4 linked regions of the Tamandua tetradactyla genome follow. The protein of the gene in region 2 interacts with the protein of the main gene of each other region in a pairwise test. Links are inferred from orthologs where the notes say so. Each region holds a gene or a part of one and is shown on either strand. Other genes may lie near its edges. The genes, in order: USP15, TRIM21, GRAP and TXN2.

Evidence for each region.
Region 1: the proteins of TRIM21 (region 2) and USP15 interact in binary tests that used the Homo sapiens proteins (3 or more experiments, as listed by UniProt). The link is inferred for Tamandua tetradactyla from reciprocal best matches to the Homo sapiens genes TRIM21 and USP15.
Region 3: the proteins of TRIM21 (region 2) and GRAP interact in binary tests that used the Homo sapiens proteins (3 or more experiments, as listed by UniProt). The two-hybrid records come from large-scale screens. The link is inferred for Tamandua tetradactyla from reciprocal best matches to the Homo sapiens genes TRIM21 and GRAP.
Region 4: the proteins of TRIM21 (region 2) and TXN2 interact in binary tests that used the Homo sapiens proteins (3 or more experiments, as listed by UniProt). The two-hybrid records come from large-scale screens. The link is inferred for Tamandua tetradactyla from reciprocal best matches to the Homo sapiens genes TRIM21 and TXN2.

Annotation. Positions count from the first base shown.
Region 1 is NC_135333.1:129,773,882-129,781,198, forward strand, and holds the start of USP15 (ubiquitin carboxyl-terminal hydrolase 15), read left to right. Parts: upstream 1-4,184; 5' UTR 4,185-4,254; coding exon 4,255-4,343; intron 4,344-7,317. UniProt on the Homo sapiens protein: Hydrolase that removes conjugated ubiquitin from target proteins and regulates various pathways such as the TGF-beta receptor signaling, NF-kappa-B and RNF41/NRDP1-PRKN pathways.
Region 2 is NC_135334.1:75,426,389-75,434,161, reverse strand, and holds the start of TRIM21 (E3 ubiquitin-protein ligase TRIM21), read left to right. Parts: upstream 1-4,729; 5' UTR 4,730-4,934; coding exon 4,935-4,944; intron 4,945-6,176; coding exon 6,177-6,631; intron 6,632-7,110; coding exon 7,111-7,206; intron 7,207-7,773. UniProt on the Homo sapiens protein: E3 ubiquitin-protein ligase whose activity is dependent on E2 enzymes, UBE2D1, UBE2D2, UBE2E1 and UBE2E2.
Region 3 is NC_135332.1:2,185,130-2,192,520, reverse strand, and holds the start of GRAP (GRB2-related adapter protein), read left to right. Parts: upstream 1-4,217; 5' UTR 4,218-4,232; coding exon 4,233-4,463; intron 4,464-6,809; coding exon 6,810-6,907; intron 6,908-7,391. UniProt on the Homo sapiens protein: Couples signals from receptor and cytoplasmic tyrosine kinases to the Ras signaling pathway. Plays a role in the inner ear and in hearing.
Region 4 is NC_135333.1:28,801,752-28,809,492, reverse strand, and holds the start of TXN2 (thioredoxin, mitochondrial), read left to right. Parts: upstream 1-4,684; 5' UTR 4,685-4,921; intron 4,922-4,927; exon of another isoform or gene 4,928-5,041; intron 5,042-5,745; coding exon 5,746-6,008; intron 6,009-7,741.

The sequences.
Region 1 (7,317 bases), on a different chromosome or scaffold from region 2:
TATCAAGCCTAACTTCTAAAGTACTCACCATATTTCTTGTCCCATCTCAAAGCCCTAGGTTAAGTTTTTTGTTTTTTACAGAAAAATCGTGTATAAAATACAGGTTTCCAATAAACACCCTATTATTAACACCTTGCATTGGTGTGGTGCATTTGTTACAATTGGTAAAAGCACATTTTTATAACTGTACTATTAACTACAAACAGTCCATGGTTTAACTTAGGGGTCACTGTTTATATAGTGCAGTTTCATGGATTTAAAAAAAAAATTTATCCTATGACCATATATATATATATATATATATATATATATATATATATAACATATCCCTTTTAGCCATATTCAGATACATATTTCAGTGCTGTTAATTATGTTCACAATGTTATGCTACCATCACCACCATCAATTACCAAAATATTTCCATCATTCCAAATAGGTGCTCTGTAAATTTTTTTTCAAGAAGATAAAAACAAAGGTAAAAAGAACACCAAAAATATACCATCCCCCATCCCCCCATTGTTTATTTTTTTGTCTTTTTTTTCTTACTCATCTGTCCTTACACTGGATAATGGATAATGGGAGTGTCAGTCACAGGGTTTTCACAATCACATGGACAGACCTTAAAAGCTCTATAGTTATTCAATCATCTTCAAGAATCAAGGCTTTTAGATTACAGTTCAACAGTTTCAGGTATTTCCCTCTAGCTACTCAAATATACCAAAAAGTGAAAAGGGATATCTATATAGTGCATAAAAATAACCTCCAGAATAACCTCTCAACTCTATATGAAATCTCTCAGCCATGGAACCTTTATTTTGTTTCCTTTCTCTTCCTCTTTTTGGTCAAGAAGACTTTCTCATTCCCATGTTACCAGGGCCAGGCTCATCCCCAGGAGTTATGTCCCATGCTGCCAGGGAGATTTGTACGTTAGGAGTCATGTCCCATGTAGGGAAGAGCGTAGTGGGTTTACCTGTGAGTTAGCTTAGAGAGAGAGACCACATTTGAGCAACAAAAGAGGTGACTTTTGGGCGGACCATGGTGGCTCAACAGGCAAGAATGACCAGGGTTTGATTCCCGGTGCCTGCCCATGTAAAAAAAAAGAAAAAGAAAAAAGAGGTGACTTTTAGGCATAGTCTTAAGTAGGCTTATCCTCTTCTCTTGTAGGAATACATTTCATAAGGGCCAGCCCCAAGAGCTAGGTTAAGTTTTTTTGTTGTTGTTGTTTTTTTAACATGGGCAGGCACCAGGAATTGAACCCAGGTCTCCGGCATAGGTTAAGTTTTAAATGGACAAGAAAGGTACAAAGGGTCTGTGAAGGCAATGAGAAACACTTAAGCAAATAATACATTCTTATAAAGTTGATTAAGGAAAACATCAGTAAAGCCACACAATCTAAATAATCAAATGTAGCCTTTGATTTATATTCTGTTATCTGTGTGAGTCAAGGTCAAATAATTTTTCTCATAAATTATCAACTTAGCTATTCAGTAGGGATGTGGACCTTAATCAATTCAGTATTTACAAACATCTCATTTCTCTTCATAATTATGTTTGCAAGTAGAACCATAAATAAATAGGCAGAATTTTCATAAATTAGTAAACTGAGATCACTAAAATTTTAATTGCTATAAACAAGATCATAAAGGTAGCTAGAAAAATAGAAACTTAACCAAATCTTTTAGATGCTGGGGCTAGACTGCTTGGGTTCAAATTTAGGTTCTTTGCCTCAATTCATCATTTATAGAATGGGGATAATAGTGGGACCTACTCATACCACTATTGGTACTTGTATCATGTTTAGAACCATGTTTAACACTTTGTAAGCTTGTTAAATAAAATAACTAGTATTTGTTTCCTGTCTCTGATGGCAACTGGTTAGGTGTACAATACAACCTCATAAATCTGATGTATAATTCAAATTTACAGTGAATTTACGCATCTATAACCAATTAACTCAGTTGCCTTGAACATGTGTAAATGAGGACAAAATTATTTTACTTTGTTATATGAGTTCAGGCTTCAATATTTCAAAAATACATCTTCTTTGAAGGGAAAATTGGACAGCAAAGTGTGAATGGTGCATCACTTTTTGGTTATGTTATGTCTATAAAATGATAGGGAGGAGTTTGCCTTCAAAATTCTTAATGCTTTTTCCACCAGTAAACAAAGCTACTATTTATTGACTGGTTATTATATCTCAGGCAATAAACATGTGTTGTTTCATTTAATCCTAATAAAAATCTTTTAAGGTAGGTATTTTTATCCCCAATTCTAAAACTACAGTAAAGGTTAGGTACTTTGCAGCAAGAAGCTGAAGTGAGGTTTGAACTTAGGACCATGTGATGCTAACATTCTTTCCATGTCATGCTGCTTCTCTGTGAAAAATTATTTTCTTTCAGAGGTTGGGTGAAAAGGGGGAAAATGTAATCCTTTCAGGGTACTTATCTATTCAGTAGGGATGTGCACCTTAATCAATTTAGTATCTACAAACAATATCTCATTTCTTTTCATAATTATGCTTGAGAGTAGAAGCATAAATAAAAGAAGCAGAATTCTCATTAATTAGTAAACTAAGGTCACTGAAATTTTGATTTCTATAAACAAGATCATAAAGGTTGTTAGAAAATTAGAAGCTTGCCTAAACCAGGTAAGTTTGGGGACTCTGGAACCCGAGTCAGCTTTAGTTATTTTTCTAGCCCGTCCATAAAAAAAGCCAAATAATGTAAGAAATAGCAAAGGCTGGAAGCTGTTTTCAGACTCTCAAAAGGATGACATGATAGTGCACAATAGTATTACTATGCAGAAAATAAGCAATCATAATGCTGAAAGACACAAATCATAATGCCAATATGTACTACTTTCACTTGGGAAGGTTTAACACTTCTTATTGGCATAATTACATCCATCTTTACTGCATTCTCAGCAAATGAGTTAAAAATGGGAAAATGAGAAAGATCATATAGGGATTTTCATCATCTTTTATACTTTTCACAGCATTATGTTATCTTAATCCCAAATCTATGGACATCTTCATCCTTGAAAGATTGAAACAGTTTTGCAACAATTCATTTATTAAACAAATATCTAGAAGGAAGTTTTGTATTAGGCAGCGCTGTACTAGCCACCAGACGTACAGAAATTTGGCTTTTTTTTTAAAAGATGAACCCAGTTCCAGCCCTTGTAGAGTTTACATTGTAAAGCCAGTTGTGCTGTGATTGTGATTGTGATTGTGATGTGATGGTGTGATGTGATGTGATGTGATGTGATGTGATGTGATGTGATATGGTGGAAAGCACGTGCGTTTTAGAACCTGGGTTATAAACTTGTCTTTCCACTTTGCTGGCTGTGACCTTGGCCAAGGCCTTTCATATTGAGAGACTCGATTTCCCCAATTGTAACATAACTGTTGGCATCAAATAATATTTGATTGGTCTTATTTCTAGTTTCATTTCAGGTGTATACACCATGGAAAGATGAGGCTAAGAAAAGATTACCTTCCGATACTGAGGAGACAGGGCTAACTCGCACGTTTTATTATCATATGGTGCTTGGCATTATTGAATACGTATTTTATGCCCTGTTCACTGAGGAACTGGGACATGTTTTCCACTGCAGCTAAGCTGTCTGGGTGCGCCTGGAGAGGCGTCACAAAAGGTCCCCACCTGCAGCAGGAGTAAGCACCTGGAAGGAGACCGAGGAGGGCTTTGAGGCCAAGCGTTGTTGTCCTGTCGTCCTTTGTTTTGGCCAGTATTCACCGAGGTCGAGTTCCGGGACTCGCGATGAAAAGACAAAAATCAGGAGCTGATAAAATTTTCTGCCAGGGATTGATTAGCCGTCCCCACACCCCTTGTCCCACCCCACCCTACCCTCTAGCGTGAGTGAATGCGCTAATAAGGGTTTTCGGGCTTTCGCGAGAAAGAGGGCAGGAGAAGGCAGAAGTTGAGATGGATCCGGGTATGGCACTGCTCAAACGAGAGAGCCTCGGATACCCGGCGGGGGAAAGCTAAAACCAGGGGATCCGGATGGGCATAGGTAGTGGCGGAGGCAGGTTGCTGGGAAAAGGGGGGACGATGGGGGGCAGCAGACCACGGCCGCGTACTCAGTGCACACTCCCGAGGCGTACCCCCCTCCCCTTCCTTCTCTTTTGGTTTCGACCTGGCGGCTGGGAGGGGCCGCAGGACGCCATTCCCATAATGCTCTGGGGCTTACCGCCGCCGCCGCCGCCTCCGCCTCCGCTACCGCTAGTGGAAGAAGATGGCGGAAGGCGGAGCGGCGGATCTGGACACCCAGCGGTCTGACATCGCGACGCTGCTCAAAACCTCGCTCCGGAAAGGGGACACCTGGTGAGGAAAAGGGGTTGAGGTGTCCTCAGTTGCCCAAGGATGGTGGGGAACTGGGTCGGAACCATGGGCTGGTGTCTTTGGCTAGTGACAGGTGCGGGCAGGTTCGGCGGTGGCCGCCCTGGGCAACAGGATTTTGGCCGCTCCCGAAATGTTGGGGCAGGAGATGTGGGCCAGGGCTAGTGGTCTGTCGGGGCGTGCTGAGTGAGAGGTGTGTGGAAGCCGTATCTGCGGCTCGTGTAGTTCTCTTCGACCTCCTTCCCTCCGTAGTGCCGCTCCCACCTCGGGCCTTCGCGAACGATAGGTTAGAGTCGTTTGGCATGAGTCTTAACAGTGTTTTGACAGATCCCGGTCCTGCGATTTATCACGGTCTAACCCGCTTTATTTCTCCAGTCGTTTCCTTTCCTGGCATTGTCGGCATCTGAGTTTGCTCTTATTTTGATTCTTATATTCTTCCGGAAGACAGGATGCAGGATGCAGGATGTTTGCGGTTAGTACTACACAGGTGGCACGTGTCAGGGCACCAATTAAGAGAAGGAAACCCTAGTCTAAAGGAGGAAGAGAAGTAGGGAACCTTAGGCTTATGAGAAGTGACCACGTGGTCTTCTGCTTCAGTGGAGGCTCGTTAGAAGCCGGCTGCGACTCTTTGGAAGTGCAGCTCTCCCCTCCAGTTTCAGTGATAATGTAGGCCTGCAAAAAGTAGATAAGGCTTAAGTAACGTAACAATTTACAAACTTATGAAACACCAAAAGGAAATACACTTAAAATGCTGAAGAAGGTGTGGAGACTAATACCTTTTGGCCATATGAAGTGGCATCCAAAATAACATAAATTTGTGAATATGTGGCATAAAGATAAAATGCTTAGTTTATTGCGATGATGAGAACAAGCATGCCTTTTTTTTATGATTTGTGTATATGTGTTTAAAATAAAAATACAAATACATAATTTTTCTGAAAACAGCTAAGGAACATACTGTATTCATTGTGCTTCTTTATAATAATAAAAACTTATTTTCATTTCCTACTGTCACTATAATAATGGTATATAATTTGCAGTGTTTTTTTCATGTACTTTATTATGACTTTTAGTGGAAGGAGCATATGATTTAGACCTGAGTTATGTTACAGCTCCACCACTTAACTTGTGGAATGACTTTGGGGAAAGTTCATTTAAATCATTGCACCTCAGTATCTTCATTTAGGAAATGGACAATAATAATTTCACTATAGGGGTTTCATCTTGATTTAATTAAATATTCTAATTTCCAAAAGAGACATCAAGTTTCAGTTACCGTCTTATCTCCTCTCTTGAGAATACACCTGTGGTATTAGTACCATTTTCAAGTAAACTGGTGGATGGCAAACTTGGGATTTAAATTTAAATGATACGATGTAAATCCTGGCACTATTTTTCTACTTTGTCAGACTGCATACTATTTTTTTTATATAACAAAAATTCCTAAGGGTGTCAAATATTTCTGTTGCAATACAGCATAAATTATAATGTTTGAATGAATTTATAATCGTTGTTCTTCAAGTTGGAATGTTCCTAAGATGTTTATTACTGTGGGAAAATGGACTTTGGCCTGTGTGCTTTTAAAGGTGAAATCAATCCTTGATTCCTTTGTATATTAAAGAACATTTAACAATTCTTTATTCATCTAGTCAGTTACCCCCGCATAAAAAAGATAAATGTGGATTTCCTTATAATAGAAATATGTAAGTTAAAATTTAGATAGTATTGTTTCTTTTTAGTCTTGTCATATTTTTGATACACTGAGTAATAATTGGTGGTGTTGACCTTAGAGGATGATACAAGTGCTGAGTGTATTGTGGTCATTAAACTTTTAAGTGCGGCATTTTTTCAAATGAATGTATTTTTGCTTTTTATTTACAAAGTTATTGTAAATCATTTTAAAGGGTAAATACAGGTGGTCTATAAACTTGAGTTATTTCAATGGTTTCATTTTAAGAAACTGAAGCCCAGATATTTTAAGTAACAGCAGAATGTGTAGGTTTTTATCAAACATTACTTTTCCCTCTGAATTAAAGAAAAAAAAAATGACAGGAACTATGTAGTGCTGGGCAGTTGCAGAAACCAGTTTGGTTTATATGTGAGCCATTTTACTTGCCATTTAGCAACTGAAACCTGGCAAGAACTTTAGAGTAAAACTCTGATTTGGTCTTTTAAGGAAAAGTATAGATTTGATCATATCCTTAAGTTCAGGACTGGTAGAGATATTTAATTTAGTTATTACTTGGGCTTACATATTGGAACTCAGTAAAAAGTTAGATTTCTCTTTTTAACGTCTCTTTTTAAAAGTTTCAGATTAGTTTTTTCTGGGTATTTGGTCAAAGCTTGTTTGTTTTAAAGCTGGAATGGGCCATATGCAAATGAACATTGGCTTTGTGTGTGTGTGTGTGTGTGTGTGTGTGTGTAGGATAACCATCTTTGAAAGACTGGGCTGGGCGGGCCGCGGTGGCTCAGCGGGCAAAGTGCTTGCCTGCTATGCCGGAGGACTTCGGTTCGATTCCCGGCCCCAGCCCATGTAACAAAAACGGAGAAACAGAATACAATAAAACAAGAAAATGTTTAAAAATGTTTCCCTTTCTTCCTTCCTTCCTTCCTTCTATCCTTCCTTCCTTCTCTCTGTCTTTCCTTTAAAAAAAAAAAAAAAAAAAAAAAAAAAAAAAAAAAAAAAGAAAGACTGGGCTATTGGGGAAAAAATGATGGGTTTACCATAAGTTTATTTCTGAAACTTAAATACAGATGATTGAAGTTATAGTCAAATGCATTAAAAAGAATACATTTCACCGATGAGTGTATTGTAGTACTCTGGTAACTCTTAATACTTAGTCGGGTATTAAGATTCATTTGATTCTTAGGTGAATGCTAGAGTTTCTGCTTATTTATAAATAATGACTGATTTTTACTGCAAATTAATTTTCTCCAGTTGCAAATTCAAGTTACACAA
Region 2 (7,773 bases):
TATTACACAGCATCCAGCACAAAAGTGAACTTCTCTCCTGCCTCCTATTTCCCATTGGCTAATATTCACTCCACAGGGACCTGACTCCCCACATTTTTTTGGTCATATCATTTGGGCCCATGATAGCTGCTAAGAAATCTGATCCTATGCCCTGTAGTGTGATGTTTCATCCAAGTTCCAGTATATGTGTATGTAGTGATGGCCCAGCACCAGCAGATGCTAAGAATAAAAGATAGGGTCAAGAGACTCTGAAATGGCAAATAAGACTGGTGTCCAATACAGATCACCCTGAAAAAGAGGGATGAAGGGAAATCTTTCCAATGGGAAGAGCTTTCAAGCAAATGATTATTCCCTTCAGATCTATATATAAACTGATAACCTGACAATTTTGAACAGATAGGATTATCTGAGATTGATGATAAAGAGGTATGGGGAGAAGTATGTGTTGAACTTCTAGAAAACAGTCCAGAGTACAAAAATATGTTTGTCCCATGTGAATACCTACCAAAAAGTATCCAATGCAGAGAAGGCAATCTATCAGGTAGATAGATGATCAGCTTCTGTCCCAGCCACCTGTTGCTTGTTCAATGGACTCAGGTACAAGCATCCAAATCAGTAGTGGAAAAAGATAAGCCTTGGTGAGGTAAAGTCTATGCTATTTACCTCAGATACATCCTCTATCCCTGCTGCTATAGATACCTGAATATGAAAAGTCAACTCTGAGCCCAACTTTTCACTATTTCTAGGAGGGTGTAGATAATCTTCTAGTGGAAGATTAGTTATATTGAACCAAAAGAAATTTGTTGTTATGAAATAGGTATATATTCCAAAGACAGTTTTATTTTTCCCATCTATAATGCTTCTGCCAGCACCACCACTTTTAGACTTACACAATCAGGGTACCCCAAGCATACTTACAACTGATTTTACAGACAAAGAATTCTGATATTGGGCTTGCTGTATGGAATGCACTGGTTTTACAGTGTATCCCATCAGCCAGAAGCAGCTGGCCCAATGAAACTGTGGAATGGCCTGCTGAAGGCTCAGCTATGGCACCAATTTGGAAACCCCACCCTGTAAGAATGATGGCGATTCCTATACATTCTGGTACATGCTTAAAATCAGCAAGCAATATGTGGTAACTTTTTGAAACGTATATCCAATATGTACACATTGGTCAAAGAATCAAGGGAAGGAGGTGAAAGTGGCCCGTGTTTCTATCACATTAATAACTCATTTACAAAAAACGGATTAAAAATTTAAAAATAGGGGTGACAAAGGTTAAAATAAATTGACTAGATGGAAATACTAGTGGTCAATGAGAGGGAGGGATAAGGGGTATTGTCTGTATGGGTTTTTTCTTTTTTCTTATTTGTTTTTCTGGAGTGATGCAAATGTTCAAAAAATGATCATGGTGATGAACAAGCAACTATGTGATGATATTGTAAACCATTAATTGTTCACCATGCGTATTAGTTACGGTTCTCTAGAGAAACAGAATCAACAGGAAACATTCACAAATATAAAATTTATAAAAGTGTCTCACAAACCACGGGAATGCGGAGTCCAAAATCTGCAGGGCAGGCTGTGAAGCTGACGATTCCAATGGAGGGTCTGGACAAACTCCACAGGAGAGGCTTGCCAACTGAAACAGGAACAGAGCCTGTCTCTTCTGAATCCTCCTTAAAAGACTTCCAGTGATTAGATCAAGCATCAGTCATTGCAGAAGACACTCCCCTTGGCTGATTACAAATGGAATTAGCTGTGGATGCAGCTGACGTGATCATGACCTAATCCTATGAAATGTCCTCATTGCAACAGACAGGCCGGCGCTTGCCCAACCAGACAAACAGGTACCACCACCTGGCCAAGTTGACACATGAACCTGACCATGACACCATGTATGGAATGTTCGTATGTTAAGTTTTACCAATTAACATATTTTTTAAAATTTAAAAAGTAACTCATTTACAGAATATTTCCTTTTAGTCTCCACAACATAGTACTCTGCCGGTTTGTAGGTCCCTAGTAAATAACAGAGAAGCCCTTCCACTAGGGAAAGCAAACCTGATTGCAATCATTGGAATCTGCCACTGTTCCCTGCCTATTTGGAGTTTCTTAAACCACTGATGACAGAGTAGAGGGTTCCTACAAACTGACTGGAATGACATCCCTACTATCAAGGAAAACTTGGGTTGCTGGTACACAGTGGGGCAAGGAGGACTGGCTGGACCTATAACCCAAGGTATATGGTGAAGAGATTCTTATTCTCATCAAGTAACAATGGTCAGTGTGCTAAAGACAACGTGTGCTAATGCGATAAGGCAAGAACATGAAGGATACTGCTCCTTCAAGACCAGAGATTCACGTGCCATGTTAAGAACAAACTGAAGTACTGGCAGTGACAAGAATTTGGAACGGGTGGTATAAGAAAAGCTATTATTATCAACTTTGCCTTAATCTCCACCTTGGTAATGGGTATAAGATCAGTGTTTAAAAGTTTGTTAAAGTTTATCTGGGCAACAAACTACTCCAGAATCCAGGAGCACCAACCCAAAAGTGGCAAATAGCTCCAAGAAGGGAGCGGAAATTGGGAACCTATATACAGTAAGTCTTTCTGATTTGATAGCTAGGCTACATTGCCTTATTTGAGCTGTTCCCGATGGAATGCCCCACCCTAAGGTGACTATTTCTGATTGGCTGGCTTTACTGCCCTGCCTACCACTGACTTTATGTTGAAAGGCTGCCCCTCCCAAGTTTCCATCATGTTACTTGGGTTTGTGGATAAGGTATTGGCCAAGGCTACTCCGCCTCTATTTTATTTTAGTAAGATGATAACATCTGTTTTGCCAGTTGATTTGTGTGCATAGTATTGAACAAGCACCAAAATAAACCTGTGGTGTATATATTAATATCCCTGCTTAATAGATGAATAAGCTGAAGCTCAGAATAATGAGCACCCAGGAAATAAATAGCAAGATCAGCACTGAACTCACATCTGCTCTATTTTGAGCCCTAAGCTCTTTTCATACACCTCCCAACAGTGGTTTACTCAATTCCTGCAGGAAATCACAAAGAATGCATTGAGGTGAAGCAGAATCATTTTGTGAGTGTCTGCAAATTCAAATACTGGTCGCTTTTTCTTTTTTTTTTTTTTTAACTCTTTCATTCTGCTTGAACACTAGATGTCACTTGAGAGCCTTTCACTTATACATTCTCTTACAAACAGAACTGGAAAATTTAAAGCATGAAGTGTTTTTAGGATTCCTAAATCTATTGTACAGATGAAGAGAAGCTTCACTGATGTTTTTACCTTACGTTATACAGCGACAAAACACACACACACACAGAATGAACTGGAAGAAATTTAGAATTCTTCTAATCTCACCATTTCCTCACCTTCTTTTCTACTTCCTCATCTGCAGTTTGTGACCACACCCTAACCAACCCTCCCTGCAGCCTCTGCTTCAACTGCCAGGGCAGCCAGTTATCTCTGGGCTGTCACTAAAATGAGGATCTTTTCTAGACTGTTAACTCTAGTGCACTTTTGCTTACTACGTCACTCAAGCAAGTCACTCCACTCAGCTTCATTGTCCTCCCTGAATATGAGAATAATAATCCTCACTTGCTAAATTGTTGTGTAAACTACAAAATATACCTGCTTCCTGAGCCACCGTGGCTCGCCCTCAAAGTTCTCCCCTGCCATGCTGGAGACCTGGGTTCAATTCCTGGTGCCTGACCATGCAAAAAAAAAAAATATATATATATATATATATATATAACCTGCTAAAATCCCTACCTCGGTGACAAGAACACGGTGGTCCTCAATACATGTTAGTTTTCTTCTTGCCACTCACTGGTATGATATCTGCTTGGCAGTTGGGCAGAATAAATCTCTTACCCCAGATGTTGAAAGAATATCATGTTTTGGGAAAAGGAATTCATTTATGGAAGCAGGAAGCAGGTAGTGGTATATAACAGGGAGTGCCAGGCCCTTTTAGGAGCAGCACCCAGATGCAGACACAGCATTTATATACAGGAAGGTGACCAGTGCCAAAGAAAGCACATTTGGGTAGATTTATTAATTTATCACCAAGTCTTCTTTCCCAGACAGCCAAACTGTATAACCAAATCTGCTTTCCACGGTACCCGACCCTTTTCCTATCCCCCCAGCTCAGACCATAGGAATCCACAGAAGTTAGTGTCTCTAATGCTCACTGGAAGGAAGACAGTAGAAACCACGTCAGATCGGCCTTTCTGGGTGCCCAGCTCCTGCCTTACAGCCGAGTAGGGGACAGTTTCCCCCCAGAGCAGCTTATGACACTGCTCTAGAGTGTGCAGTTGCACTGGAGGGAAGAGGGCCCATAAGCCACAGGAAGAGAGTAATTGCAGACCTCGGAATTGGGAGGGAAACAGCCTCAGTTGCACAGAGCTGGGAGGGGGAAATGTGAGAGGGGCCCCTAAATTAAATTAATGGGAACGAGCTTGCACATAGGATGAACTGCTGCTGAACTTTCTCCAAGAAGCCTGAATCTGGCATTGTCAGAAACCTTCTTACGTTCTCCCCCGGCCCAACTCCTTTCACTTCCCTACCTTCCCTTCTTCACTCCTCCTCCTGCCCCGCCCCTCTCCGTTTCCATCTCCTCCCCGCCCATTTCTCCGCCCACACTCCTCCCCTGGGTTTTTTTTTTTTTTTTTTTCTGACTTGCCGCTTAGAGGAAATCGAAAGTGAAATTGATAAGCGCCTGCCGTCCAGTGACTACCCTGTTAAAGTGAGTTAATTTGGCCAGATTAAGGTGCCCGACCCTCCCTGGGGGCTGTTCTCCCTCCCCTTACCCAGATTTGAAGATTCTCTTCCAACCCGAGAGCCTTCTATCCGAATTGTCCTTTCTCTGCTCCTGACTTGATTGGACCCAAGCCCAGAACTTATTCCCATGCTGGACAGTGAGTATGATTTGTACCAGGAAGAAGCTGGGGCTACCCTGATGCTGACGCCAGATCTGGGAGGGGGCAGGTGAGGGTGGAAGAGCTGGGTCCTAGTCTAGCCTGCCGGGCGGCTGGGGAAACCCAGCATGAGGTATGGAGCCTTCCTTGAAGCTGAATGTTTTTTCCTCCCATCCCCCCACTTGCTCCTTGCTGGTTCAAGACCGAGCTGGCCTATACCCAAATGAAGACAGGAAGGTTTGCAGTTGCTCAGAGGAGTCCCTGTCAGGAGCCCCTGCCTGCTCCTCCTCACACCCTCAGTACACCCAGGGGCCACCCCTTCCCCAGCAGCTCAGGGGACACTCCACATCCCTGTTCCTCAATAGCAAAATCCCTAAATTTCTTCCTCCTCTATGTATATGACTCCTGCCATTATTGTAATGATTAATGAAGATGTATGCAAAGCGTGGAGCACATTCTCTGGCACACGGAGGATGGAAGGGCCATAGTAAATGGTATCTGTTATAATGATGAGCTTCTCAGCAAAATGGAGGGCTGGTGGGATAGGAGAAGATGGATAGAAAAAGCCTGAGCACTGAAGGGAATCTTTATAATAAATCACCACAAGAATTTCCAAAGTGACAGTTGGTGGAAATGGTCCTTGTGTGAAGCTGGAGACCCCATGGCCTGAGCCCCATACTTCAGCAACCCCTTCCTGGACCTCCCCGCCAACCAAATACCTAGTGGGCACACCTCAAATAGAGAAGGTGATATAATTAAATGAGTTCATCCCTCAGCCCCAGGCTGGGCACATAGTAAACCATCAGGAGTTGTTTTTTTGTTTATTTTATTTTACATAGGCAGGCACTGGGAATCAAACCCGGGTCCTCTGGCATGGCAGGCAAGCATTCTTGCCTGCTGAACCACCGTGGCCCACCCTTGTTTTGTTTTGTTTCACCTTCTTTATCATTCCATTTGAAGGACTTAAGCAACGATAGACATGGTGAAAGAATTTTAAACAGCTTTATCTTTGAGGTTCTAGACAATTTCCTCTCCCTCTTTTGTGGACTCAGTTTCCCCTTCTTTCTAACTATATCAACAGACCAGACTATGGAGGAGTCTTTGTTATTTAGGTTGTTCTCATCTTTCCTATTTTCACCCCCTCCAGTTCACTCCCCCTTATAGTTTCCTTTGAATCATTTTTATTTCCCATAACCCCTCTCTTCTTTCCTTTTTTTTTGTCTCCCCAATAGTCCCAAACAAGATCTCTGTGCTGCTGCTTAGCAGGGACGTTACCTCCATGGCCTCAGCAAAGCCCCTGGCAATGATGTGGGAAGAGGTCACGTGCCCTATCTGCCTCGATCCCCTAGCAGAACCTGTGAGCATTGAGTGCGGCCACAACTTCTGCGAAGAATGCATCTCTGAGGTGGGGAGAAACGGAGGCGCTGCCTGTCCCGTGTGCCGGAAGAAATTCCTGCTCAGGAACCTCCGGCCTAACAGGCAGCTAGCCAACGTGGTGGACAACCTCCGGCAGATCAACGTAGATGCCAAGGAGGGCACAAAGGGGGACCACTGCGAGGTACATGGAGAGAAACTTCACCTGTTCTGTGAGGGAGACAGGAAAGCCCTTTGCTGGGTGTGTGCCGAGTCCCGGAAACACCGCGATCACCCCAAGATCCCTATTGAAGAGGCTGCTCAGGATTACCGGGTAAGGCATTCACCTGGAGGCATGGACAGATGGGAAGGAGACGCTCCCCAGAGCAGGGGATGAACAAGAAGTACCCCTGGAGTTGACTGGTTGGGGAAAGGAAGGTTATTCCATGCCTAATATACCAGGGGAAATGCAAACTAAGCACAATCTTCTCAGTCCCCAGGAACAGGGACTGTGCTATGGAAAAATGCTGCAAGAATCACGTTTCCTTGTGGCTTCCCGGTTAATTAGGAACTAGTAACGCCTCCGCCCCCGCCCCCACCCCCGCCCCCACCCCCGTGACTCCAACAGTGTAGCTCTATTCCGCAAGCAAAGATCAGGCTTTTGCTCAAGTCCTTCCATCTGCAGAACTCCTACCCCACTCAGACTCTAGTACCCAGGCCTTTCTAAGAACCAATCTGAACCTCCGCATCCCACAGCGCCCCCCCTACACTTCCTGGTCTGTTTGGGGACTAACTTGCTGTCTTCCTCTCCAGGAGAAGCTCCAGGACGCTTTAGAGAAGCTGAGGAAAGAGCAGGAGTTGACTGAGAAGTTGGAAGTGGATGTTGCGAATAAGAGAACAGCCTGGAAGGCAAGAATCATGCCCTAAAACGGACCTGAGATTAGAAGCCTGGCAGGATCTAAGATCCTGGGCTCAGTAAGGCCCTAAGCACAGCTGTCTGAACAGTGACAGAGTAGGGATACGTCACTCTACAAAAACCAACCATCCTCAACTGGTGGAGGTAAAAAAGACAGAGGCTAGAAGCAGAGGCCTAATCAGACACAAATCTTGACAGTTCATGGGAGACTATGCTGAGGAGGACAAGTCATACCCCAAAGACCCCTGCACCTCTGAGCCCAGTCCCTGGCAAAGGGGTGCGTGTGAGAGGGTAGCACCGCTGCCTCTCACTGACAGAGGTATCTCAGAAGAAAAGCCCAACAGCTATGCTTCTTTTTTTTTTTCTCTCTCCAAATCGGAGTAGATATTTTAATGAAAGCAATGGTCCTGCCATTCTTTATTTCTCATAATACATATTTACAGAAAAGACTGTCCGTTTTAAATTTTTATAATTATACAACTTTTTGCAGTTGAATCAAACAATGGACATCTCAGTAACTTTTTAAAGCAGCTTCAATGTATGTGTACAACTTATGTGAT
Region 3 (7,391 bases), on a different chromosome or scaffold from region 2:
AGCACCTGCGCCTTGGCCAGCGCCAGGCGTGCAGTAGGCCCTCGATGGACTAAAATGCCAGCCAGGGTGGGGGCACCAGCCACCTCCACTGGCACCTCTAATCCATGGAGCCTGGAGGTGGGGGGCAAGGGGACTTTCAAGCTGAAGGAGTAACAGAGAAACGGCAGGAGAGGGAGGACCTGCGCTTTCCTTCATTCACTCAACAAACACTTACTGAGCTCTGCCCTGTGCCAGGCCTGGTTCCAGGTGCTGAGGACACAGCAGACAAGGAGCAAAGTCCTGGCCCTTGGGGCGCTGGTAGCCCCCAGGGGGGCGGGCAACCAATAAGATGAGTAAGGACATCAGGAGGTGACAGTGGGTTGGAGAAGGCCATCAGGGAGAGGAAAGGCAGAAGGCGCTGGCTGGCTGGCTGGGTTAGACGGGGAGGTCAGAGCAGATTCTCACCCCTGGGCTGAGTGAGACTGGTAGAGGGAGGGGAGGGCAGAACCAGCCATGCAAAGAGCCGGGAAGAGCGCGCCAGGCTGAGGAAGCAGCTGCAAAGGTCCTGAGGCAGGGCATACTCAAGTCTGAAGAGTTGAAAGAAAGGGCCAACATCTGGACAGCAGCTGGGGGGAGGTTGGCACGGTCAGGTAAAGAAGGACCTGTGAAGGATTTGGATTTCATCCTAAATACAGTGTGCATTCACTGAACAAGTTTTCTTCAGGGGTAGGATTTGATCAGATTTGTGTTTTAAAAAGTTAGCAGACAAAGTCCCCTTGGGGGAATCGTGAGAAAGGGGGAAAATTCAACTTCCCCAAGTGGAGAATTCTTGATATTCTCACACGCAGTGGGGACAACCACAGCAATAGGCTGAGCCCCCAATCTTGGGGTTTCTTCATATGAAACTTTACCCCACAAAGGATAGGCTAAACCTACTTAAAATTAGGCCTAAGAGTCACCCCCCAAAAAACAACCTCTTTTGTTGCTCAGATGTGGCCTCTCTCTTCAGCCAACGCAACAAGCAAACTCACTGCCCTCCCCCTCTCTACATGGACATAACTCCCAGGGGTGTGGACCTTCCTGGCCACGTGGGACTGAAATTCTAGAACGAGCTGAGACTTAGCATCAAGGGATTGAGAAAACCTTCTCGACCGAAAGGGGGAAGAGTGAAATGAGACAAAATAAAGTGTCAATGGCTGAGAGATTCCAGACAGAGTGGCGAGGTTATCCTGGAGGTTATTCTTACACATTAAATAGACATCACATTTTTAGTTAAGGTATAACAGGGAGGTTGGAGGGAACTGCCTGAAAATGTAGAGCTGTGTTCCAGTAGCCATGTTTCTTGAAGATGATTGTATAATGATATAGCTTTCATAATGTGACTATGTGATTGTGAAAAATTGTGTCTGATGCTCCTTTTATCTACCTTATGGACAGATGAGTAAAATATGTGGATTGAAAATAAATAAATAATAGGAGGAATAACTGTTGAAATAAATTTAGTAGATTGAAATGCTAGTGATCACTGAAAGGGAAGAGTAAGGGGTATGGTATGCATGAATTTTTTTGTTTTCTTTTTATTTCTTTTTCTGAATTGATGCAAATATTCTAAGAAATTATCATGATGATGAATATACAACTATGTGATAAAAAAGAATGTTCATATTGTATGTTGATTGGCTTTATTGATGAAATTTTTTTTTAATGACAAAAAAAAAGCTAGCAGAGGAACAAGAATGGAAATGGGGAGGAGCTACTGTAGTGAAGGTGATTTACACCAAGAAAAACTCAACAAACTGTTAATGCCCTTTATATGTAAAGAGTTCTGATAAATCAACAAGGAAATCATAAACAGCCTAGTAGAAAAATGAGCAAAGGATATGAGCAAGAAATTTGCCAAAGAAGCCATGCAAACCAATAAATACTCAATTTCACTAATAACCGACAACTTGGAACTTGGAACACTTAACTGTTTTCCGTTTACCAGCTAGCAAAATTTTATTTTAGAAAGAATCCCCAAGGTTTTTGAGGGTATAGAAAAATGTGCACTTTCATGTGGGAGGAGGGGTGGACAGGTCAAGGGACAAGCATTTTGGAGGGCGTTTAGGAGACATATATAAAGAGCCTTAAAAATATCCAGGTCCCCCCCAAAATAAAAAACTATCCAGGTCTCGTGACCTAGAAATTCTACTCCTGGGAAACAGGGAAATTGGTGATGCATGTACACTATTCCACCAGCAAATATTTTGGAGAGTGTTTAATGACATAAAAATGCTCATGATACAACATCAAGTGATGAAAAAGCAGAAGAAAAATGGCCCCATACGGAAGAGAGAGTTGGCTTTCTACAGAGAATCCGTAGACAGAATTGTGTGCTGGGGTAGTAGACATTTGTGGACTAGAATGCAGAGGGAACGAAGACCTGGAAATAAATTCCTGATAAGTTAACAGTTACCCTGTGACTGGACCCCTACGGAATCTGTGTTTCCTTCTTTACTTTTTCTGCATTTCCCGAATGTTCTGTGATAAACAAGCATTCTTTCCGGGGCTGGGCTGGGGGGCGGGGAGCGAGGCCCCCTCACTCTCAGGCTTGTCCGAGAGTGAGACAAGCCCATCTTTAAGATTCTGGTACGTTTGCTTCCTTTTTTTTGCCTGCTTTTAAAGATGAAAGGCAGTATTTATGGATGACCCTAACATGTGGGATAAATGTTTCTAGCTTCTACCCAGATTTGCATTAAACAGAAACAGATCGCATGATTGGAAAGAAGTAGTCAATAATGAACAGTTGATTTTTTTTTTTTTTTTTGAAGATTTAAAAAGCTTTACACCTATTGGACCATTTGGGGACAAAAGGTAGGCTTTGCAGGGTTTTTTTTTTAATATATATAATTTTAGATTTAATCAGTGTGCTGCACGGCTCTATAAATCCCTTTCAGTCCTATTCACCTTCAGGGCAGCAATGCTACTTATAACCCCACTAATGGGCCACCTTCCCTTCTCTCCGTTCCCTCACATTTAACTTCCGCCTCACTGGGTAACCGATCACCCATCACTCCTCTATGCGACCCTCGGTCCCCTGCATTCTACAGGAAGCCTCTTGAGTTGGGCTTTGCCAGAGTCACAAAAGTGGAATCATACAGAATCTGTCCTGTTGTGTCTGCTTCTTTCACTCAGCATTGTGTCCTCGGGGCTTATCCATCTTGTCATGTGCTGCAGGACGTCATCTTGTCTTACTGCTGCATAATCTTCCATCCTGTGTAACACCACACTTGGCTGATCCCCGCCTCTGCTGGTGGCCCTTGGATTGTTTCCATCTTTTGACAGCTGTGAAAAGCGCCGCTAGGAGCATCGGTGTGCAGGGCCCAGGCATGTCGCTGCTTTCAGCGCTTCTGGTTTATGCTGAGTATGGCATTGCTGGGTCTTTGCATAAGTTCTCAAGAGACCTTATTTTTTAAACGGTTTTAGATTCATAGGACATTGGAGAAGATAATCCCGTTTCCCTGATATTAACATCTTATATGGATATGGTACATTTGCTAACATTACAACCCTAGGTTATACTTTATGAGCTAAAATCCATTTTTAGATTTTGATGACGTTCTTTATTTTGTAACATGTTGCACAAAAGTATTATTTCTCCTGAATGCTAACGTTTTCGGCTTCCCTTTGAAGTTTGTATCTGAAGCACCTCCGTGGCTTCTCTAGTTCCCGCCCCGCTAACGTAACCCTAAAAATGTCCCTGCCTGACCCTCCCCCGGGTCGGGGCCTCAGCGTGGCCGTCACCTCCCGGCGGGCCTGGGAGCTGAGCCGCTGCCCCGTCCTGCCAATGCCATGACTGTCCCCCACTGCTGGGCCCAGCCGAGAAGCTGGCTAGTCCAAACCGACCTGGGCTTGGGGGAGACTCTGTGGTTGTGGTCCCCCCAGGCTTCTTGGCCCCAAAGGTCACTTCCCTGGGACTCAGCCAGGTGTTTGGGGACATGCGGCACCCTGCTGTGCCCAGCGGAGGCCTCGCCCCCCTTCCCCACAGACACCCCCGAGAGGCTGACCACGGGGGGTCCCAGGTCCTCCCTGACCTCACTGGGAAGGCTGGCCGCGGCTCCGCCCCCCACTGCTCTGCTCACACACCCCCACCCCACCCCCACCTGCACCCCGCAGCTGTCTGGCCAGAGTTCAGGCCAAACCTTTGGAGTCGCCTTCGATCCTCTGCCTCAAGCTCCCAGACTGTCCCACCCCGAGTCTGACCACTTCTTAACATGCCCTCTGCCCCACTCACAGCCCCTTCTCCGCGCTGCAGGCAGGGACGTAGCCTGAAGCTTACCCTCCACCCGTCTGCCCTTCCAGGGTCCCCTCTGCTTTGCAAAGGAACACTGAGCCCCTTCCCACAGTGGCCAATAAGGTCCCACAGCCCCCGCCCTCCCTCCACTGCAGACACCCGTCCCTTCTGTTCCTGGGACGCAGCTCGTTTCCGCTCAGGCCTCGCATGGGTGAGTCCCTCTGCCCCGGACACTGTTCCTTACCTTCTCATGGACGATTCCTGCTGGCAGCTTTGGCCTTAGCTCTTGTCACCTCCTCGGAGAGGGCTTTCCTGGCCCCCTGGCCCCATCTTCTTCCATCTGTGTCCTCCCGCCTTGCACTTTGCAAACCTCGTACCCTACATTCAGCTACCTGTCCGCTCCTTCTCCCTGCCCCATGGGAGGCAGCCCCATGTTCACAGCTGCACCCGCAGACAGGGCACACAGCAGGCGCTCAGTGCATGTGTGCTGAGTGCACGCACTGAACCAGGGTGGAGGCCGGACAGGAGCAGAGGCTCGGGGCAGGCACAGGTGTGCGTTTCCCCTCCAGCAGGAGAATTTCACCAGGGAGGCACTGGGCGGCCCTCCTTCCGGGGAATGTCTGGCTTTTCAATAAACCCTAAGAACTCAGCTTATGCAACCAATGAGCCAATCTGGGGCCTCTGAGTCAACCTGACAGGAAAACACAACCAAAATGGGAATGACCCATTCATACATTCCTACAGTCAGCAAAACCCAGCCGGTTCATGTGCCCATTTAACAGATGGGTAAACTGAGGCCCGAAGCCACAGAGCGGGCAGAGGCAGGCAGAACCCTCTAGAGTCCCCAGCCACACCATGAGCCTGCATTTTCTCTTTAATTTGGGGATTGTTTTATTTGCTTTTCTTCTTTTTCTTTCTTTTTAAGTGGAAGTGCTCTAAAAATACACCAAACTGAGACAACTGCTGCTTCCGTCCATCCCTGGGGCAGAGGGCCTGGAAGGGGCTCAGCCAGGCCCTCCACAGGCAAGGGGTGCCCGGCTGCAGGGCTGGGGCCTCAGGCCTGGGCCCCAAGGGGGACCCCAGCTCCTCTTGGCAGAAGTTCACCGTCCAAGCTGACATCCGTGCATCGGCCGCCCCCGCCCCCACCCCCCACCCCAGCCTTTGCTTCTGTGGCTCCCTCCCTCTGGGATGCTGCCCTCCCCCAGTTTTTGCTCTCAACAAATATCCCCATTAGGATCAAAGAGATGGGGGGGTGCAGGGGAGGGACAGGTGTCAGGGCCCCGCTCCAGGCCTGCTGAACCAGAGACCCCAGGCCCCGAGCGTTGGCTTCCTGTAGAGGCTCTGTTGGCGTGGCCTCAGCCAGGCCCCTTCCGCCCTCTGGGCTTTCTCATCTGCAGAATAATATTTTCACAGAGAAGAAAAGGCCCAAAGGGACATTACTGGGGCATGTGAAATAATCGGAATTAGGTCAGCGTTAAACTTCTTGAACTTGATAGCTGCGCTTGGAGCGGTTACCCAGGCAGACTTTAGGAGATGTGCGTGGCGGTGCTGAGTGCTCCAGGCGCCTGGCGTGTGAACCTGCACTCACATGATAGGCACATGGATGGATGGATGGATGGACAGACAGAGAGAATGATACAGCAAATGTGGCAAAATGTTGAAATCGGTGGAGCTGGGTATCTGGAGGAAGTTACCTTGGCGTTCTCTGCGTGGATTTTGTATTACTTTTGCAATTATCCTGTACATTGGAAATTATTTCAAAAGAAAACGTTAAAGAAAAAAAAATACTAGCTAAAAATAAATAAATAAATAACATTTCATCGTGTCTATCACCGAGGGCCGTATAAGAACTGGGGTGGCTGGTGTGACGCTTGCCTGCTGTCACCCCACCGTGCCCCTTCCCCGAGACCTGCCCCCAGCCTCTTGGTTGGTTGCTCACCTGCAGCTATTTCAGTTCCCCTTGTCTCAGCTGTGTGGCTGCAGGGGCCCTCACCCCATGGAAAATTAGCCCTTGTGACCGGACCGGCCTCCACAGCCCGAGGCTCCTCTGCCTCACTTCCCCCCTCTAGGTACCTCCTGCCAGCCCCAGGCCGCGGGGGCTGTTTAAATGCTAGTGTCCCAGGATGGGCACCCCCACCATCCCGGGGTCCTCAGATCTTCTCCCCAGGGCCTCCGTGCAAAGGCTGTGAATCCCCAGGTCTGCTCCCCAAGACCCCGCGGCCCGCTGTGGAACTGGAGACCCGGGAGCGCCAGCTGCCCCCCAAGCCTCCACCATGACCCAGGGCTCCTGTGTGTCACCCTGACCCACCTGCCCCGGGGGGCCGGGGACCGACCGGGACCAGACTCTCCTCGGCAGGGGAAGGGCAGGGCCACGTCACGCAGGCTGAGGTCCCAGCGTGTGACCCAGGAGGGACCTGCCGCTGTGCTGCCACCTTCTCCTCCGAAACGGGGTCCGCGGTGCCTTCTCCTTGGGCAGGGGGCGGGGGGAGGTCGAGCCCAGCGTGGCGCGCCGTAGGGCCTCGGCAGGGCTGACTGGCGACGTCCCTCCTGCCCGCAGATCCTGAACATGGAAGATGACCAGAACTGGTACAAGGCCGAGCTCCGGGGTGCCGAGGGCTTCATCCCCAAGAACTACATCCACATCAAGCCCCACCCGTGAGTGTTCAGCTTCTGCCACCATCTGGCCCCACCTGGTGCCACCTGCTCACACCTGGCCCTACCTGGCCCTACCTGGTCCCACCTGGCCCTACCTGGTCCCACCTGGCCCTACTGGTCACACCTGGCCCTACCTGGCCCTACCTGGCCCCACCTGGCCCTACCTGGTCACACCTGGTCCCACCTGGTCCTACTGGTCACACCTGGCCCTAAATGGCCCTACCTGGTCCTACCTGGCCCTATCTGGTCACACCTGGCCCTACCTGGCCCTACTGGTCACACCTGGCCCCACCTGGTGCCACCTGCTCACACCTGGCCCTACCTGGCCCTACCTGGCCCCACCTGGCCCTACCTGGTCCCACCTGGTCCCACCTGGCCCTACTGGTCACACCTGGCCCTAAATGGCCCTACCTGGTCCCACCTGGTCCCACCTGGCCCTACTGGTCCCACCTGGCCCCACCTTGCTGGGCTCAGCAGAGGAGAG
Region 4 (7,741 bases), on a different chromosome or scaffold from region 2:
GGTAGCAGATTCCTCTCTCCTCACCCTCAACAAGCCCTCCTCTGAAACCTTTCCTCACTATAAATTTTGCCAGTGACACTTTAATAAACGAAAATCCTTAGCTCCAACTCCAGCCTCACCACATCTTGGAGGGTGGTGGGAAAATCACAGTCCACAGATCTGCATGGGAGGATGCCTTTGCCTCTAACCAGCTGTGCACCCCTAGGTGAGTCACCTGTCCCCTCGAAGATTCAGTGTGCTCCTCTGTAAACAGTGTGCAGGGGACAGAATGCCAACCCCATTTTACAGATAAGGAAACTGAGCTTAGATGGCTTACATTACAAGGATTCAAATCCAGGTCCTCAGGACCTGTTCGTTTCACCCACCCAGGCTTCACATCTGTAAGATCAGCACACCAGAGGCCCACCTTCCCAGCTCAGGCCTGGGATTTCTATCCCGACCTCATACTGACACTAAAATGTACCTTTTCAAAGAGCTTTGTACATTTTAACTCCCTTATTGACAAACAGTATCAAAGACACAGAGTTGAGGAGTTGATAAGGAACAATGCCAGAAAGAACAACTGACTTGCCCAAAGCCCAAGTGGGTTAGAGGTAACGTCTGGTGATGACCTAGCTCCAATTCTGAGCCTAGCACTCATTTCTCTGACCTGCAGCTGCCCCCTGTTCACAGACTGGGAGCACAGCAGAAGGGTAAGGGATACAAAGAGATCTGACAAAGACGAAGGGTCCACTGCTGCCCCACCCCACCCCGCCACCCGACTCCAGCCCCTTGCAGCTGCAGGCTATGCTCTGCACAGCAGAATCTGAGCCAGCCAGTCCTGGCCTGGCAAGGGCACATGAGGAGCCTCACCCCAACATAAGCCCTGGGGCCCCAAACTCTAGGTGTCTACCGGGGACACTGGCCTGGCACTGAGGAGGCAGTGAGAGGGGTGCCTTAGGCCCACCTATATCACAGCCTTGACAATCAAGAGTTGCCATCCCGAATACGCAACTATGTGATGATATTGTGAATTACTGATTATATAAGTAGAACGGAATGAGCATATATTAAGAATATGTGTTTCATTCTTGTAATTTTGTTTTAAGTAATAAAATTTTAAAAAAAAAGAGTTGCCATCCCTGAATTACAAATTATGCTGCTGTTCCTGTGTTCATGTTCTTATTATGATTCTCAAAGGGGGTGAAGGGACATTGTGTAACTGCTGGAAACATGACAGAAGGCGAATCACAACAGAACATGAAACCAGCTCCCAGAATTGCGAAATATGTCACAGTTCTCATTGTTCTGCAACAGCATTAAAAAAAAAAATCACAAAATTAAAATCAAATGAAGAGATTCAGAGAGAGCAGAACAATGAAGCCATGAGATGCAGAGAGTCCACAAGCCAGCAACCTTTGGAGATGAAGAAGGAAAACGCCTCCTGGGGAGCTTCATGAAACCAGAAGCCAGGAGAGAAAGCTAGCAGATGACGCCATGTTCACCATGTGTCCTTCCAGCCGAGAGAGAAGCCCTGACTGTGTTCACCATGTGCCGTCTCACTTGAGAGAGAAACCCTGAACTTCATCGGCCTTCTTGAACCAAGAGTGATGCAAATGTTCTAAAAAATGATCATGGCGATGAATATACTACTATGTGATGATATTGTGAGCCATTCACCATACACAGAATGTCTGTGTTAAGAGTATTCGTGTCTATGTTGTTTTGGTTTGATAATAAAAAATAACTTAAAAAAAAAATCAAATGAAAACAGAAAACAAAGATACACTGGAAGCCGTATCTCTTGGAGAGACACTCTCAGCTCAGACTGTGGCCCCACCACCCCTCTCTGTGTTTTTTTCTTCAAAGTGCCTCCCTTCAGCCACAAAATCTGCAGCTTGGTGCAGCCCTCTCCCCTGTGATCCTGCCTGCCGGGGCCTGAGGCAGCCCACGTCCCAGGACCGTGATCCTTGCCTGGGGCAGTTACAGCACCATTCAACTTAGTTTTTATACCAATTCCACCTCCAACTATCGGGGTGACCCTGGACAAGCTACGAAGCCTCTGTGTGCTATAACAGCACCAACCTCGTAGGGTTGTGAAGATTAAAGGAGTTAATATAGGTAGGTGCTCAGAAGAGTGCCAGGTGTTGAGCAACGATTCGATGCATCTGTAACTTTCAAACCCATGGGAAGAGACACCTTTTATATCACAACCTTACACATGCAGACATACATACCTAAAAACAATAAGTGTTTTATAAAACAATACTTAACCTTATTACATGCAACATATTCTAATATTTTCCACTTCCATTTTTTTTTCAGTGCTCATCACAACCCTCTACGTTGATTTCACAGCCCACTGTTGGCTCATATCCCAGTCTGCAAAAACACTGTAAGGGGTAGCTGTAGAGACGTTCCCCGTAGCCCTGGATGCCTGGCTTCTTTCTCCTCCCTTCATATCTATTCCCTGAGCCTGCCTTGGGACTGAGCCAGACACAGGCTAGTTTGGCTGGGCGGGCAGCAGACCTGTGAGAGAAAGCATAGCGGGGGGCATCACGAGAAAGCTGGACAGGTCCTCTGTGGCCTGCAGTGAACTCAGTCTTCTCTATGTGTCTCATAGGACTAGAAATAATTTGCATTGTGAACTAAGCTGCGAAATGGGCTCTGTGGAAGAGAGCTGTGGAAATGCTGAACAGGATTAATAGGTGGTTCTGGAACAGTAAGTGCTGGGTATACAAAAAAGCAGAAATGAAAATGAGTAAGGTGGAAGCACCCCTGCCAGATGGCACATGGCATTAGTAGGAACAGCTGTACTCAAGGATGGTGACCTCAGGAAGAGCCAGGAGCACTGGGGTTCCGCTGCTGGGCCACCCCCGTTGGCTCCAGCCCTGGGGGGAAGCAGAAGCTAAAGCCAGAGGTCAGACAGGATGTGGGGGCAATGCCTGCCTGTGCCCTCACCTAGTCTCCTGCCTCTGATAGACAAGGAGGTCCAGTAAGTGGAAGGCTGACATAGCTGTTATGGGCAAACAAATGTGGACCTGTTCCAAGGATTCGCTCACCACATCCCAGAAGAGGATCCCTGAGCAGCTGTGGCCTCTGGAGGGTGAGGGGGGAGAGGACAAATAATAATGCCATGTGGTCAACATAAGCTGGAATAAGACATTCCAAGGATTTTGGAAGAGGGTAACGTAATGTAAAGAGGAATTTGGAGTCCTAAGATTTGAGTTACATCTCTATTCTCGGTTCATTCAACCTCTAAACACCTACTACCACGCACCAGGCCTGGAGGTTAGCAATGGAGAGACGAATGGGCCTTGCAAAAGCTGGCAGTATAAATGAGGAGTGAGGAACAAAGAAGCAGCCAGTAACAACACCGAGTATTACCTGCAGTGACTGACAGATGTCCAGGTGGCTGTGGGAGCACAGAGGAGGGAATCTGTCTCCAACTGCAGAAGTTCAGGGCAGGGTTCCCAGAGCTGAGTTTGATCTGGAAGCATTTTCTCAAATAGAGAGTGGAAGGAAGGGCCTTCCAGTTATAGGCAGCAGCAAATGCATAGTACAGGAATCAGAGGCATTTCGGCAAACCCTGGAAGAGTGAATTCTCAATAGTGATTCCCAGAGCAAGAAATGGAGATGTGACATAGGACTCTGCCACTTTACCTGCCTGATAGCCTTGACTGACTAGAAGCCACTCCCCGAGATACCCAAAGATACTCAGTTTAATAACATCTATTGAACACCCTCTGTGAGCCAGGCACTGTACCAAGTGGGTGCTGGGCATACACAAATTATAAATAAACACCATAAATCCCTAATCTTAAGAACACAGTGTAATGGAAGCGACAAGCACTCTACAATGTGCTATGGGAGTTCTGAACAAAGCACTAGAAGAAGCAAATAATATTGCTCAGAGAAGAGGCGACAAGACGGCCCAGAAAGGATGAATAGGCTTTCTACCAGGTGAAGAGAAAAGAAAGCATATAAAGAAAAGCGCGGAGGCATATAAGAAAAGACAAGGGCCCAGGTGTCTTCAAGGAACAGAAAGAGGACCTGAGGGGTCAGATGTACCATACAGAGAGAAGGGGAGACAGGCGGTGGCTGGGCCACCAGCCTGGGGTGCACAAAGGTACCTAGACCCCTCTGTGCAGTGACAACGGATGTAAAATGAAGGTCTCAGGCCCAAGCAGGTTCAGAGGTCACATGTTACCTGGCGCCTCAAAGGCAGCAGTCCCCAAGTATCACGACCAACGGGCCCAGCTCCCCAATCACCCTACAGAGAATAACCTGAAGTGACTAGGGGCACAAGCCCAGCCCCTCACACCACAAACTGGGGAACTGAAGCCGGGAAGCGGTGAGTGACGTGCCCCCAATCACGAGGTCACAGACAAATGCCACAAAGTGGCCTTTTGACTCCCAGTCAGAGTCTTTTTCCCCCAAAATTGCACTACGCCTCTGAGAAGCTTAACCTCTTCATCCGTAAAACGGAGGGAAAGAAGCTTTCAAAACCTCTAGGAGTCGTCGGGAGGCTGTGAGGTAAACGGCGTGACCTGGGTTGGTTGAGCCGTGAAGAAACAGGAACTTGCAAAGCCCGGAACCCGCCCTTAACTCCCTCTGAGCCCGCCCCCGTTGTACCCGCCTTCTTCTACCGCCTCTTCCGGTCCCTCCTCCAAGGTCTGCCCGCCTCTTCCGGTCCCTCCTCCAGGGCACCCCGCCACTTCCGGAACTTCACCAAAGGTCCTGCGCTTTATTTGTGCCGTATCCTGCCGTTCCCATTGGCGGAAAATCTGGGCGGCCCCTGCGGGAGCGGGGAGAAGTGCTCCAGGTCGCCGATCCCCGGAAATGACGCTTAAAGACTCTCTCCTAAGGAAGTTACGGCAGGAGTGCCCTTGACGGGCGGGGAGGGCCGGGCTGTTCATCCCTCCGCTCACACTACGGGGAGGTAGGAAGCCGGTAGGGATGACTCGAGGCGGTGGTCGCAGCTGAGGAGCACAGCGGGAGTGTTGCAGCGGGGGAGGCTCTGGGAGTGGGGAGCTGGCCCTCCCGGGAGCCTGGGCTCCAGGTTGCGTCCGATTTCCTTCCATAACCTGTGGCCCTTCTGTTGTCATTCCCCTCACACACCTGTTCCTGTGCCTCTTAGTTCCCTCTTGAATTGTTGCGGGTCTTCTCTCCTGATCCCTCAGCAACTCCCCCTTTTTCCTTATTTTCCCATTAAAACACCTTTTAAAAAGAGTATTTGATAGAGCAAAGGCTTAGCAGTCAGCTTTGGGTGCCAGTGTTGACGCTTTCATTTAATAGTTGGGTTAATTCAGGCATGTCACTTAACCACCTGAGCCTCAGATTCCTTGTCTGTAAAATGGGCACTATTTTAGCAACTTCTCAAAGTTGATGTGGAAGCACTAATAATATATGTAAGGCACCTGACCCTGGCTCATAGCATGTGTTTTCTAAATATTGATTCCTCCCACCTCCCTTCGATTGTAATTCCACTTATATCCTTATTTGTCAACCCATTTTCCTAACTCTGGCTTGCCATTCCTTTTTTTTTTTTTTTTTCTTTGTCTTTTCTTTTTTCCTTGGATTCTCATTCCCCACTCACCTCTTCTCCAAAAATCTTACACATTGTTTCCTTATATTTGCTTCCTACCTGCATCTCTCTGAGCCCTGCCCCCACCCCCTACCCCTGTACTCCCAAATACCTTTCTTTTTCTGGTGCATTGACTTCGTTTAGTCTGCCCCAGCTCTTCCTGCCTCTTCCCCTCACAGATGGCTCAACGACTTCTTCTGAGGAGATTCCTGGCCTCCATCATCTCCAGGAAATCCTCTCGGGGCCGATGGACACCCCTCACCTCTGGGGCCTTGCAGAACCTGCAGTGCAGCCCTGGTGGCCTTGCAGCAACACCCAGCCCAACCCAGACAATACACACCACCAGGGTCTGTACGACGACCTTTAACATCCAGGATGGGCCCGACTTTCAAGACCGAGTTGTCAACAGCGACACACCAGTAGTTGTGGATTTTCATGCACAGTGAGTACTGGGCATCAGCAGAAAACTGGGGTCTCATTTGTTCAGTTGCTGGACTGCCTGTTTTGTCCTAGCACTAGGCCCAGTGCTTCTCATATAAAGACTGATAAGACGTGGTCCCTGCTCTCAAGGAGTGTGCAGTCTGATAGGACACAGCCTAGTAAATAGTTTAAAACTCATTGAGATCAGTGCTGGGATAGATTTAAGTTCTGTATCTCACCGTCTGAATACCTCAGAGTCATCTTCAACCTGGAACAAAGCAGGAAAAATATGACTAGAACATCGTCTGGACTTTGATGTGTAGGAGTTCCTGGTCCAGAAGATAAGTTGATTTTATTTGAACATTTGACCATCAAAACTGTGGAAAGGACTGGCAGAAAGTTATCGGTGATCCTGTAGTGGAGCCTGAGCGTGCATGGGCTGGCAGGAGTTTCTTTTCAGTGTTATATAAAGTTTTAGGGATAGTTAAATGCCTGTGGCCTTCTGGTATTTAGCCTGGCCTTCTTTGTTTACAGACCTTGAAGCTTGCCTTGATCTCTGTCTACAAAAAAGCTGGACAGACTCCTCGGATTGAGGGACCTGGGAGGAGCCATCCTACCCTGAGTTAGAAGCTGGAAGGCCTTTTGGGCAAATCTCTGACACATTCTTTTGCTCTGTTTCCATTTCTTTCTCAACTCATGGTGGCGCCTTGGGCAGGCCATTTGAAATCTTTGAACCTCCCTTTCTTTACTTATAATGGAGATATGGTCTTGCAGACTGGGTCTTTCAGTGTTGAAGTCTCTGATGAAAGGGGTTTGTTGGTTTTTTAGTTTTGTTTTGTTTGCATGGGCAAGCACCAGGGGTTCGAACCCAGGTCTCTGGCATGGCAGGCGAGAATTCTGCCACTAAGCCACTGTCTCACTGCCCTGAAAAGGGTTTTAAAACCTGTGAATAAAGTAGTTGTCAGCCAGAGATTAGTGGAAGGCATTGTTGTGGTACACTCCTGGTATGGTAGTATTCTAGAGAGGGCTTCAGAAACAAATGATACATGGGGTGAAGTTTCATTTTCTTCTCCCAGCAAGGAAATAGGTTATAAGTTTGTTCATTCAGTGCCAGGCCCTGCCCTTGGTGCCGCATACATAGAGATGGCAGCATGGTGTCTGTCCTTGAAGAGCTCACCACCAGGAAGGGACTGCCTATACAGGGCAGTGATGGCTGTTGGTGCAGTGGCTGTGGAACCACAGAGTACCCCAGGCTGAAGGAACAGATACATGTAGCACTTCCTTGGTTGCAGTCTCAGCTGTGCTTCTTACTAGCTCTGTGATCTTGGGCAAGTTTCTTAGCTTATATGGGCCCCAGTTTCTTCGGAGGATGCTTTCTCTTCCTTTGCAGTAAGAGCTGGGGAGGTGCTGACGTGGTGACGGGCCCGTTGTTCAGGCTCCCTAGCCCCTGGATTCCCTCCCTTGATTTTTGAGTATACGTGTCAGTTCACAGAGCATGTTTATCCACATTGCCCGTGTTGATTTCTGTAAGAACTTTGAGAGTCAATCTGTTTTTCAAGTGAGGACACTGAGGCGCCAGAACATTCAGATGATTGCTCAAAACTTTAAAAATCAAATCCCATATTCTTCTATATGATAGTATATTTTTCTAACATATATTGGAATAAATAAAATAACCTCTGTGAGTCTCAGAAAATTTTCCCAGTTGCACAGTCTCCTGGCATCACCAATTGGCATGTAAACATTGCAGGTTAA